2 linked regions of the Schizosaccharomyces pombe genome follow. The gene in region 1 interacts genetically with each later gene. Each region holds a gene or a part of one and is shown in the gene's direction. Other genes may lie near its edges.

The links. Genes that interact genetically often act in the same process or in processes that back each other up.
Region 2: of dhp1 (region 1) and din1, extra expression of one rescues a mutant of the other (dosage rescue), as found in Schizosaccharomyces pombe (one study listed by BioGRID).

Annotation. Positions count from the first base shown.
Region 1 is NC_003424.3:3,355,624-3,362,889, reverse strand, and holds dhp1 (5'-3' exoribonuclease Dhp1), read left to right. Parts: upstream 1-1,886; 5' UTR 1,887-1,997; coding exon 1,998-4,973; 3' UTR 4,974-5,140; coding exon of another isoform or gene 5,141-5,761; 3' UTR 5,762-5,810; coding exon of another isoform or gene 5,811-6,158; 3' UTR 6,159-6,746; downstream 6,747-7,266. Other genes in the region: Tf2-4 (retrotransposable element/transposon Tf2-type), read left to right, coding at 1-1,343; SPOM_SPAC26A3.11 (mitochondrial omega-amidase), read right to left, coding at 5,141-5,761, 5,811-6,158. UniProt on the Schizosaccharomyces pombe protein: Possesses 5'->3' exoribonuclease activity. Required for the processing of nuclear mRNA and rRNA precursors. May promote the termination of transcription by RNA polymerase II. Essential for vegetative cell growth and chromosome segregation.
Region 2 is NC_003424.3:5,219,720-5,223,547, reverse strand, and holds din1 (RNA NAD-cap (NAD-forming) hydrolase/RNA pyrophosphohydrolase Din1), read left to right. Parts: upstream 1-2,161; 5' UTR 2,162-2,269; coding exon 2,270-3,328; downstream 3,329-3,828. Other genes in the region: uga1 (4-aminobutyrate aminotransferase (GABA transaminase)), read right to left, coding at 1-364; SPOM_SPAC19D5.10C (uncharacterized protein), read left to right, coding at 1,829-1,837, 1,907-2,161; DNA replication factor C complex subunit Ctf8, read left to right, coding at 3,535-3,651, 3,701-3,828. UniProt on the Schizosaccharomyces pombe protein: Decapping enzyme for NAD-capped RNAs: specifically hydrolyzes the nicotinamide adenine dinucleotide (NAD) cap from a subset of RNAs by removing the entire NAD moiety from the 5'-end of an NAD-capped RNA.

The DNA of each region.
Region 1 (7,266 bases):
AGAATATCCAACTCAAAGATGGCTTACTAATTAACAGTAAAGACCAAATCTTATTACCTAATGATACTCAGCTGACTAGGACAATTATTAAAAAGTATCATGAAGAAGGTAAATTGATTCATCCAGGCATTGAACTTCTTACAAACATTATATTACGTAGATTTACGTGGAAAGGAATAAGAAAACAAATACAAGAATATGTACAGAACTGCCATACATGTCAAATAAACAAATCTAGGAATCATAAACCTTATGGACCTTTACAACCAATTCCCCCATCAGAAAGACCTTGGGAATCTTTATCAATGGATTTTATTACAGCTTTACCAGAATCATCTGGTTATAATGCACTTTTCGTGGTAGTTGACCGATTTTCAAAAATGGCAATCTTAGTACCTTGTACGAAATCCATTACAGCAGAGCAAACAGCTCGAATGTTTGATCAACGAGTTATTGCTTATTTCGGCAATCCAAAAGAAATCATTGCAGATAATGATCATATTTTTACTTCCCAAACGTGGAAAGATTTCGCACATAAATATAATTTCGTTATGAAATTTTCGTTACCATACAGACCACAAACTGATGGACAAACTGAGCGTACAAACCAAACTGTGGAGAAATTACTAAGATGTGTATGTAGCACACATCCAAATACATGGGTAGATCATATATCCCTAGTGCAACAATCTTACAACAATGCGATACATTCAGCAACTCAAATGACACCTTTTGAGATAGTACATCGCTATTCACCAGCTTTATCACCTTTAGAGTTACCTAGCTTTAGTGACAAAACTGACGAAAACTCTCAGGAAACGATCCAAGTATTTCAAACAGTTAAAGAACACTTGAATACAAACAACATAAAGATGAAAAAGTATTTCGATATGAAAATACAAGAAATTGAAGAATTTCAACCTGGAGACCTAGTTATGGTCAAAAGAACGAAAACAGGTTTTCTTCATAAATCCAATAAATTAGCACCTAGTTTTGCAGGACCGTTCTATGTGTTACAGAAGTCGGGTCCAAACAACTATGAATTGGATCTTCCAGATTCAATCAAGCACATGTTTTCATCTACTTTTCATGTTTCTCACCTAGAAAAGTATCGACATAATTCAGAACTCAATTACGCTACCATTGATGAGTCTGATATTGGAACAATTCTTCATATCCTAGAACATAAAAACAGAGAACAAGTACTCTACTTAAATGTCAAGTACATTTCGAATCTAAATCCGAGTACTATTATGTCAGGATGGACTACATTAGCTACAGCGCTACAAGCGGACAAAGCAATTGTCAATGATTATATTAAAAACAATAATCTAAATATCTGAGAACATATGACTTATCCTCAGATTTACATAGAAAATCTTGGGGAGGGCAATGTCAGCAATACTACACTACGCTATAATACACTACGTTGAGTATCACTATATGTCACATGTTCTAATTATATATCGTACCATGTATGATACGATATGGAGATTGATCTTAATGATAATCTATTAAGATCAATATTATCTGAATACTATAAATAGAGCTACTGCTGAACCTCGTTCCTCAGTTCAGTTATGAGCTATATTAGTGATAGGTAACATTATAACCCAGTTAATACAATACCTATACTCAGTTGCTACTTATACAACCTGTGTATTGTAATATAATAGATCACAAGGAAAACTCACCGCAGTTCTACGTATCCTTAAATCAGATACCAAACTGCGTAGCTTACACTTAAGAGACTAGATTTTAACTATTGTATAGCGAGTACGTTAGTAATTTCCAATTTACTCCAATGTGCGTTAAAAAATTTAGGTAGGACTGCGGAGACTACGCTAGATCTAGATTAAAATACCTAAATATTAAATCTTCAACTTATACTACACTCGTAGTCTTTAGTATCTAAAATTTACCAATTTGGGCTTTTTTGAAGCATTTGGTTTGGAGAAGATTTATTCGATTGAGTATTTTCTCCTTTACACCAAAAAATGGGTGTTCCAGCACTTTTCCGCCTTTTGTCGAGGAAATTCGCAAAGGTCATTACACCTGTTATTGAGGCTCCTACTGAAAAGCTTCCAGATGGTACTGAAATTGAACCAGATTTAAGTCTTCCCAATCCAAACGGAGTGGAATGCGACAACTTGTATTTGGATATGAATGGTATTGTTCATCCTTGTTCCCATCCTGAAGATCGCCCCGCTCCAGAGACTGAAGACGAGATGATGGTTGCTGTCTTTGAATACACGGATCGTATTCTTGCCATGGTTCGTCCTCGTCAGTTATTGTTCATTGCAATCGATGGCGTGGCTCCTAGAGCCAAAATGAATCAGCAGAGATCACGTCGTTTTCGTTCTTCTCGTGAAGCAGCTCTCAAAGAAGAAGAATTACAAGCCTTCATTGAGGAGGCAAAACAACAGGGAATTCCCATCGACGAAAACGCTACGAAGAAAAAATCTTGGGACAGTAATTGCATTACCCCCGGCACACCTTTCATGGACACTTTGGCCAAGTCTCTTCGTTACTACATAATAAATAAACTAAATAGTGATCCGTGCTGGAGAAATGTCAGATTTATACTTTCTGACGCCTCGGTTCCTGGTGAAGGTGAGCATAAGATCATGGAATTTATTCGATCTCAACGAGTGAAACCAGAGTATGATCCAAATACACACCACGTTGTTTACGGTTTAGATGCAGACCTAATTATGCTTGGTTTGGCTACTCATGAACCCCATTTTCGTGTATTGCGTGAAGATGTCTTCTTTCAACAAGGAAGTACTAAAAAGACAAAGGAAGAGCGTCTTGGCATCAAGAGACTTGATGATGTTTCTGAGACCAATAAGGTTCCTGTAAAAAAACCATTTATATGGCTCAACGTTAGCATTTTGAGGGAGTATCTAGAAGTGGAACTTTATGTCCCCAATTTACCTTTTCCATTTGACTTAGAACGTGCGATTGACGACTGGGTCTTCTTTATCTTTTTTGTGGGTAATGATTTTCTTCCTCATTTGCCTAGTTTAGATATTCGTGATGGTGCCGTAGAGCGGTTGACTGAAATATGGCGAGCTAGTCTTCCGCACATGGGTGGTTATCTTACTTTGGATGGTTCTGTTAATTTAGCTCGTGCTGAAGTCATTCTGAGTGCTGTAGGTAACCAGGAAGATGATATTTTTAAGCGTCTTAAACAGCAAGAAGATCGTCGTAACGAAAACTATAGACGCCGTCAACAACGCGAGTCAAATCAGGAATCAGAATCTTATGTTGACAACGTCGTAATTCAGCGTTCAGTTGAGACGCAATCGACAGAAGTTGTTACCTCTTCTAAATCAACTTCTGTTGATACTAAACCGCCAAAGAAAACTCAAAAAATTGACGCTCCGGCTCCAGTGGATTTGGTTAATTTGTCTGAAAAAACTTCAAATCGATCTCTAGGCGCTACTAATAGAGAATTAATTAATAATCGCGCTGCTAACCGTCTTGGACTTTCTAGGGAAGCAGCTGCTGTTTCTTCAGTTAACAAATTGGCGGCCTCTGCATTGAAAGCTCAGTTGGTTTCAAATGAGACACTACAAAATGTTCCTTTGGAAGACAGCATAGCTTCATCCAGTGCATATGAAGATACCGATAGTATTGAATCTAGTACCCCTGTTGTACATCCAATAGACACAAAAGTTTCAAATGTGGGTCAGAAGAGAAAGGCCCCAGATTCGACTGAAGAAAATGAAAATACTGATACAGTCCGCCTGTATGAGCCTGGATACCGCGAACGGTATTATGAACAAAAATTCCACATTTCACCCGATGAACCAGAAAAAATTCGTGAAGCTGTTAAACATTATGTTCATGGATTGTGCTGGGTTCTTTTGTATTATTATCAAGGCTGTCCATCTTGGACCTGGTATTATCCATATCATTATGCTCCTTTTGCCGCTGATTTCAAAGATTTGGCCTCCATAGATGTAAAATTTGAACTAAATCAACCCTTCAAGCCTTACGAACAATTACTAGGCGTTTTACCTGCTGCTAGTAAAAATAATTTACCTGAAAAATTGCAAACTCTTATGACTGATGAAAACTCTGAAATTATTGACTTTTACCCGGAAAATTTTACTATTGATTTAAACGGGAAAAAATTTGAATGGCAGGGAGTTGCTCTTTTACCATTTATAGATGAAAATCGGCTTTTGAATGCTGTATCAAAAATCTATCCTCAACTTACCGAGGAAGAGTCAAAAAGAAATGAGGATGGTTCTACTTTATTATTTATTTCTGAACATCATCCAATGTTTAGCGAACTTGTCAAACAACTTTACTCCAAGAAACGTCAAGGTAAACCACTTAAGTTATCCGGAAAGATGGCACATGGATTGTTTGGCAAAGTTAACACCAATGATTCCGTAATTCCCAATGTATCCGTTCAATGCCCAATTGATGTTACATCCGCTGACGCCCTTCAGAAGTATGGAAGCATAGATGATAATCAATCTATAAGTCTTGTGTTTGAAGTACCTAAATCGCATTTCGTACATAAATCCATGCTTTTAAGGGGAGTGAAAATGCCGAACAGGGTGTTAACCCCAGAAGATATCAACCAAGTACGTGCAGAGAGGAGCTTTTCTTCCCGCCGAAACAATGGTAATTCGTATCGTGGAGGACACCAAAGTTATGGTGTCCGACGCTCTTACCAATCGCAAAGTTACAGTAGTCGACAGAGCTACACTGGAGTTACTAATGGTTTTGCAAACGGTGGAGTTCAACCTCCTTGGTCTGGTAATGGCAATTTTCCTCGTTCTAATGCAAGCTATAACTCTCGCGGCGGCCACGAAGGATACGGCGGGCGCTCGAGAGGTGGTGGTTATTCGAATGGACCGCCAGCTGGTAACCACTATAGTAGTAATCGCGGAAAGGGTTACGGCTATCAGCGAGAATCCTATAACAATAATAACAGGAATGGCTACTATTAATACATTTAAGTTTTCTTAGTACAATTTTGAAAGCGGGTTTGGGATATTGGAGATAAATAATATATCTGATTATTTGAATTTCATTGGCACATTGCATAATTAGTTATGCAATTCAGTTACAAAATGCATGTTGATAACATAAAATTATACTCAACAACTATACCGATCTATTCCTCTTTCTTAAGAGCAGGTAATACTTCTGAATAAACATCAAAGCGGCGTTGAGTATAGATAGGAACGCTGTTTCGAGCGGTAGACATGACAGAGGGATCAATATCTGCGTAAACGATAGACGGTTTTTCATCAGTAGTAGCAATAACTTTTCCGAAAGGGTCTACAACAGTAGAATGTCCCCATGAATGATAGTCAGCGTTCATATCTCTAGCAGGGGCACAGCAAGCAACGAACATCTCATTATCAACTGCTCGGGCTCGTGCAAGTAGTTCCCAATGTAAAGGGCCTGTGGACAAATTAAATGCTCCAGGGTAAATCATCACACTACAGCCATTTCTAGCTGCTATCATAGCGAGTTCCGGAAATCGTATATCGTAACAAATACCCAAACCAAACTTCCCGTATTCAGTGTCAACCATAGTCATGGCGTCGCCAGGTGAAAGACTATCAGATTCGCGGAAGCTAACTCCACCAGGAATGTCAATATCGAATAAATGAATTTTCCGATGAACGGCTATCAATTTTCCAGAAGGATCAAACACCATTGCAGTGTTGTATAATTTGCCATCCTTGCGTTCAGGAATAGAACCGCCAAATAAGTAAGTCTTAGTATCCTACAGTACCGTTAGTCTCACATAATCAACGAAAATTAAATTAACAAACCTTTGCCATAGAGGATAAAGCTTGGTAAGAAGGAGATGATTCCTCTATAGGTTCAGCATACTGATTAAAGTAACCAGTACCATATGGTGAATTGAAAATTTCTGGTAATACAATGACATTAGAACCGTTTTTAGCGGCTTCCAATACTTTTAAACGAGCGAGTTGTAAATTTTCGCTCTTGTCTTTGGTATTGGCAAGCTGAACCAAGCCAATACGAAAAGCACGAAAATCTTTAGGAACCAGAGATGAAGCTGAGACAGACATGATGTTCCTTGTATAGCAAAAATTTAATGAAGGAAAAAAGGATCTTGTGCCTTTTTGAACGAGTCCAAAAAATTTACTGTTCATATAAACAATCACCGACTTGAAATTTTAGGTGAAGGAAGAGGAATGAGTAGAAAGCAAAGATACGAGGGAAGATGTCCTGATTTGTAGGCTAGTCTCAGAATATCTAGCTTGCGATAATTTTGAGCTCCAAAATATTATATTCCTGAAATCTCAATGTAACTTATTAAGCACGTGGCTAGCGAAATCCTCCAATCCAAATTACACCTTGTTATCAAAAAGAAATTTAGCAAGGTGATCAAACTTCCATGTCTTTGATAAGAAGAATGTCGACATCAAACTAGTTTTCAATCTATTGTAAATCTAAAGAAGAAAAAGGGATTTACATTCAAGCAGCAACTACACAAATAGAAATCGTTGTTTGAATGTTACGGAAGGCAAGACCAAAAAAATTGTTTTTGTTTATCTACAAGTTACAAAAGAATGATATTTATTACTGTGTCAACTAGTTTATAGGTAATGATAATATCGTCTGTCATTTTTAGAAAAAGGGGATTCAATTACTATAGATATTCAGTTGTTCCGAATGTGTTGAAAAATAAAATCTTAAGCGTCTTCGTTTCGCAAAAGAAGAAAATAAATGTTATAATAGCTCGAATGAACTGTTTGGCATACATGTTAATTTCACGTATATTGAATATTGATCTTGTTCAATAACAAATGAACTTATGGCATGCATAAGATCCATCAATCGAGAAGAGCCTAAAAATCGCATTTGAATGCGTATTTAAAGAAAGAATAGCTGTATCCTTAGTCAAAAAATTTTGTATTGAAAGAAAAAAGATTAAGAGTATAATGAAAATAAAGAGGAAAAGAAAGTTCGAAAACCAAAAGATGACCAAGAAAATAATGAGTAAATTACGTTGTTTAGCAAACAACCAAAATAAATTGCAATAATAAATTATAGAATTAACACATGATCCGAATAAGAGTAAAGCTGTGGAGATTAATAAGCTCTCCATTCAAATTCGTTGCGCTTCAAATCATGGAATTCACGGAAATCCGAAATGAAATGACACCTGAATAGATATTGAAATAGATGGTAAAAAGAAAGAATGAATTCGATTGGAAAAATGAACATAAAAGATGATTTGATGCAAAAAGTAAAAAT
Region 2 (3,828 bases), 1.9 Mb from region 1:
AAGCGACACGAGCCCATTCCTTAGGAGGGTAATTTCCCAAAGCAGGACGGTTCATTAAAATGGTAGCGACTTCGTCCGACTTGGCAGCCTTGAGGAGAGTAGGATTGTTGTAGCCAATGGGGATAGTAGCGATTTGAGAGTAAACATCCAAGAGAACGTTACCATCCAAGTCGACAAGATAGTTACCAATGGACTTTTCATAGTCTACAGGAAACTTGACAGCGCTGATGTCGTGGTATTTGGACATTTCTTCAGCAGCGGCCTTACCTTTGGGACCGGGAATAGTTTCGGTCTTAATGCTAGGGCCTTGAGGCTCATTGGGAAAAAAATGAGTGCTTTCAGTAACGGTGGCAGTAGAAGACATGTTGAATAGAAAAGTATAGTCTAAATGGAGGAGAACCTTAACTTAAGGCAGTAGAAAGTAAAATTAAAAAAATAAAAATAAAAAATAAAAACAAATGTTTACAATGAAACTCTTTTGCTAAGTTCTATGCAAAAGCAGGAAAAAAAAGAAACAAAAAAACAAAAACCTCAAAATGTGAATGATAATACTTTGTTTTTTAAAAAAAGATGCTGTTTTCGTAGGAAATCGCTTTCCTTTTATAATTCGTCTCGCACGACAAATTTCCAACTTTTGATTGCGGATTTTAACCTTCTCAATTACAATCTATGCTCGGGCAACATTTCCTAAACTTCCCATATCCAGCTCGCTAAGCGGTGATAGATAAAAAATGTGGTCGGTACACTTGGCCATCGGCAACCGATACCAATTTGCAAGGCAAACGATTTTCTATGGGGATATTCGGATGATCGAAAGAAACAATAGACGAAACTCATGATTTCATCTGCGACTTTGCATCCTTCAGAAGGTTGGCAAAAACGAACATCGAGGTATCATTGTAGATGTAAATGAATGTGCATGGACAATTCTGATGAATATGTTCAAAAAATTATCAATCACGATGGGCAAAAGGAAAAAATTTCACGGAGATAGCAAAACGCTCGGATTGCCTTTGAAAGGATGAGTGGAAAATAAATCTTTAGATTTTTATTAAGTTAAAGAGAAAATCACTTTTTTTATCAGTTGGGATTGAAACGTTTGGGACAAACGGTAGGCGGTTTTAGCACAGGTGGCCAAGATATGCATGCGTATAATTTAGATTTTTTCATCTTTGACATTAGCGATACTAAAGCGTTTCGATACGAAAACGTTGCGATACAAAAACGTTAAGAATATTGTTTAACTAATGGTTTTTGATCCATGGGTTTATACCACATAGTCAATTAATAAGTACTTGTTTTCAAAGTGTCACAAAAACATCTGGGATATTAAGAGTGAATATGAGGTGGAAATAGTAAATTCTAATGCGTCCCCTTCATGAAATACATTTCCTTTTCTCTTTCAAAATTACCCTACATTTGTAGCTTCTACCAAATTACTTTTCTAATAACAAATCGTTTGTATTTCTCTTTCCTTTGCTTCCCTGTAGAATAACGCACTAGGGGGGTTTGATGACACGCTATATAGCAATTTATAAGTTATTGTCTAAAATGTTTACAACCATTCCTCGTTTGATATTTGACGAAAGGTTCGACGATCGCTTCAAGTCACTAACACTCCATAATTTAGCTTGACCAAGCTTGATCAATCTTTGGACTGATAATTTTTTGATAATCTTAGGTTAGCGTGAATGAATTGCGCGTCATAATAATAAGTTAACGTGATCAAAGGGATTGCAAATCACCACTTAACATATTAAAACTTGTAATCCTAATGTATATTTACGTGCAGTCATTGATATTTGTTATATAATGATAGCAGAGCTAAATGTACACGGTATATAAAATAAAGATAAGAATGGTAAAGCACATAAACTAGTAGATAACGTTTTACATTAATTTTTAGTCAGCGTCTCTTTTCTTTATCCAAATTGTAATTAGCATTTTCAATAGTCATCTTGCCGTATTGTATTCTATCGCATTGTGTTATTCGGTACAAGGTAGAATCTTAGGTAGCTCCACCACCAATTTCGTGCACGACAGCACAATTGGTGTAAAATCCAGTTGGTCGAGACATTTAATTCATGGTATCAATATCTTTTCTTTTTCCATCTCTCTTTTTCTAATATTTCTGACTATTCCCTTGTTTGACATTGGGTAAACCACATCTGCTTTTTCTCTTTGCACTCTTTACCATAATATTCCAAGTCTATGCGTACATTGCTGTTGAAATCTTTGAACTTCATTCAGTTTTATTTCGTCGTGCTTCATGCTTCGTGAATTTTCGTTTTACGATGTGCCTCCTGCTCACGTGCCACCGGTTTCGGAGCCTTTGGAAATTGCCTGTTATAGTTTATCGAGAGATCGCGAACTGCTGCTTGATGATAGCAAGTTAAGTTATTATTATCCTCCACCGTTATTTTCCGATCTGAACACGGGATTTCCTAATAGGTTTCACCCTCCTAAATCCGACCCTGATCCTATTTCTATTGTAAAGGACGTGCTCATGACTAAAGGCATTCAGATGAATTCCAGCTTTCTTACTTGGCGTGGTTTAATTACAAAAATTATGTGCGCTCCTTTGGATCCCAGAAACCATTGGGAAACTTATCTGGTTATGGATCCCACCAGTGGAATTATTATGATGGAAGAGCGAACTCGATCGGAAACTAGTTATGCCAACCAAGACCGAATGTGTTACTGGGGTTATAAGTTTGAAGCCATTTCCACACTTCCGGAAATATGGGATGCTTGTTCGAGAGACCAAATTGAGCAACGTGACAACCAAGATGTTGTGCCCGACGAGCAGTATTGCTCCATTGTCAAGATCAATATCGGCAAGTCAAAATTGATACTCGCAGGCGAGGTCGATTGTATTTGGGACAAAAAGCCCTGCAGTGCTAAAGAAAGCGATGTTCATAGTGATGATGGAACAATTGAAGAAGATGCATCCAATGCCGAAAATCCCAACCTGCATTACGTTGAGCTCAAGACCTCCAAAAAGTACCCCCTTGAGAACTATGGAATGAGAAAAAAGCTATTAAAGTACTGGGCACAAAGTTTTTTATTAGGAATTGGTCGTATTATAATTGGATTTCGCGATGATAATGGCATCTTAATAGAAATGAAGGAACTTTTTACGCATCAAATACCTAAAATGTTGCGCCCTTACTTCAAACCAAATGATTGGACTCCCAATCGTCTCTTGGTAGTTCTTGAGCATGCGTTAGAATGGATTAAGCAAACCGTAAAGCAACATCCCCCTTCAACCGAGTTTACACTTTCTTATACTGGCGGTTCCAAACTTGTTTTACGACAAATAATTTAAATCTATTAATTTTGTAAAATAATAAAAAAGTAGGGTTATACACTAGATGTTTTCTAAGCTTATTGCATTTAATACAAACTCATTTTCTTATGTACTCTTTCTTTCATCTCCACTATACCTAGATGACACTGCTATTTAGCGCAAACTAATATTTCAAAAATTGATATCAACCAAAGTATTTCTCTAGGATACTAAAGGGTAGATAGATGTCAGAAATCCGTCTTATAAGAGCAATTAATGATGAGCTTTACCTCGTTGAGGTTCAAGCGACATTGGAAAGAAAAGCAGATTCGTTGCATATAGGAGATTTAAAAATCATTAAAGTATGAATCGAAATTTTAAACTAGTTTTGTTTTTCTAACTAATATCTAGGAAAAAAACTCCGAAAAGAAAAAAGCTACACTTACTGTTGGCAATCAGTATATGGAGGGCGTGGTTGAATCGTTGAAAAAACCACTAGCTGTTTTGCAAAAGACGAACGCTGATCCTGTCGATGTCTA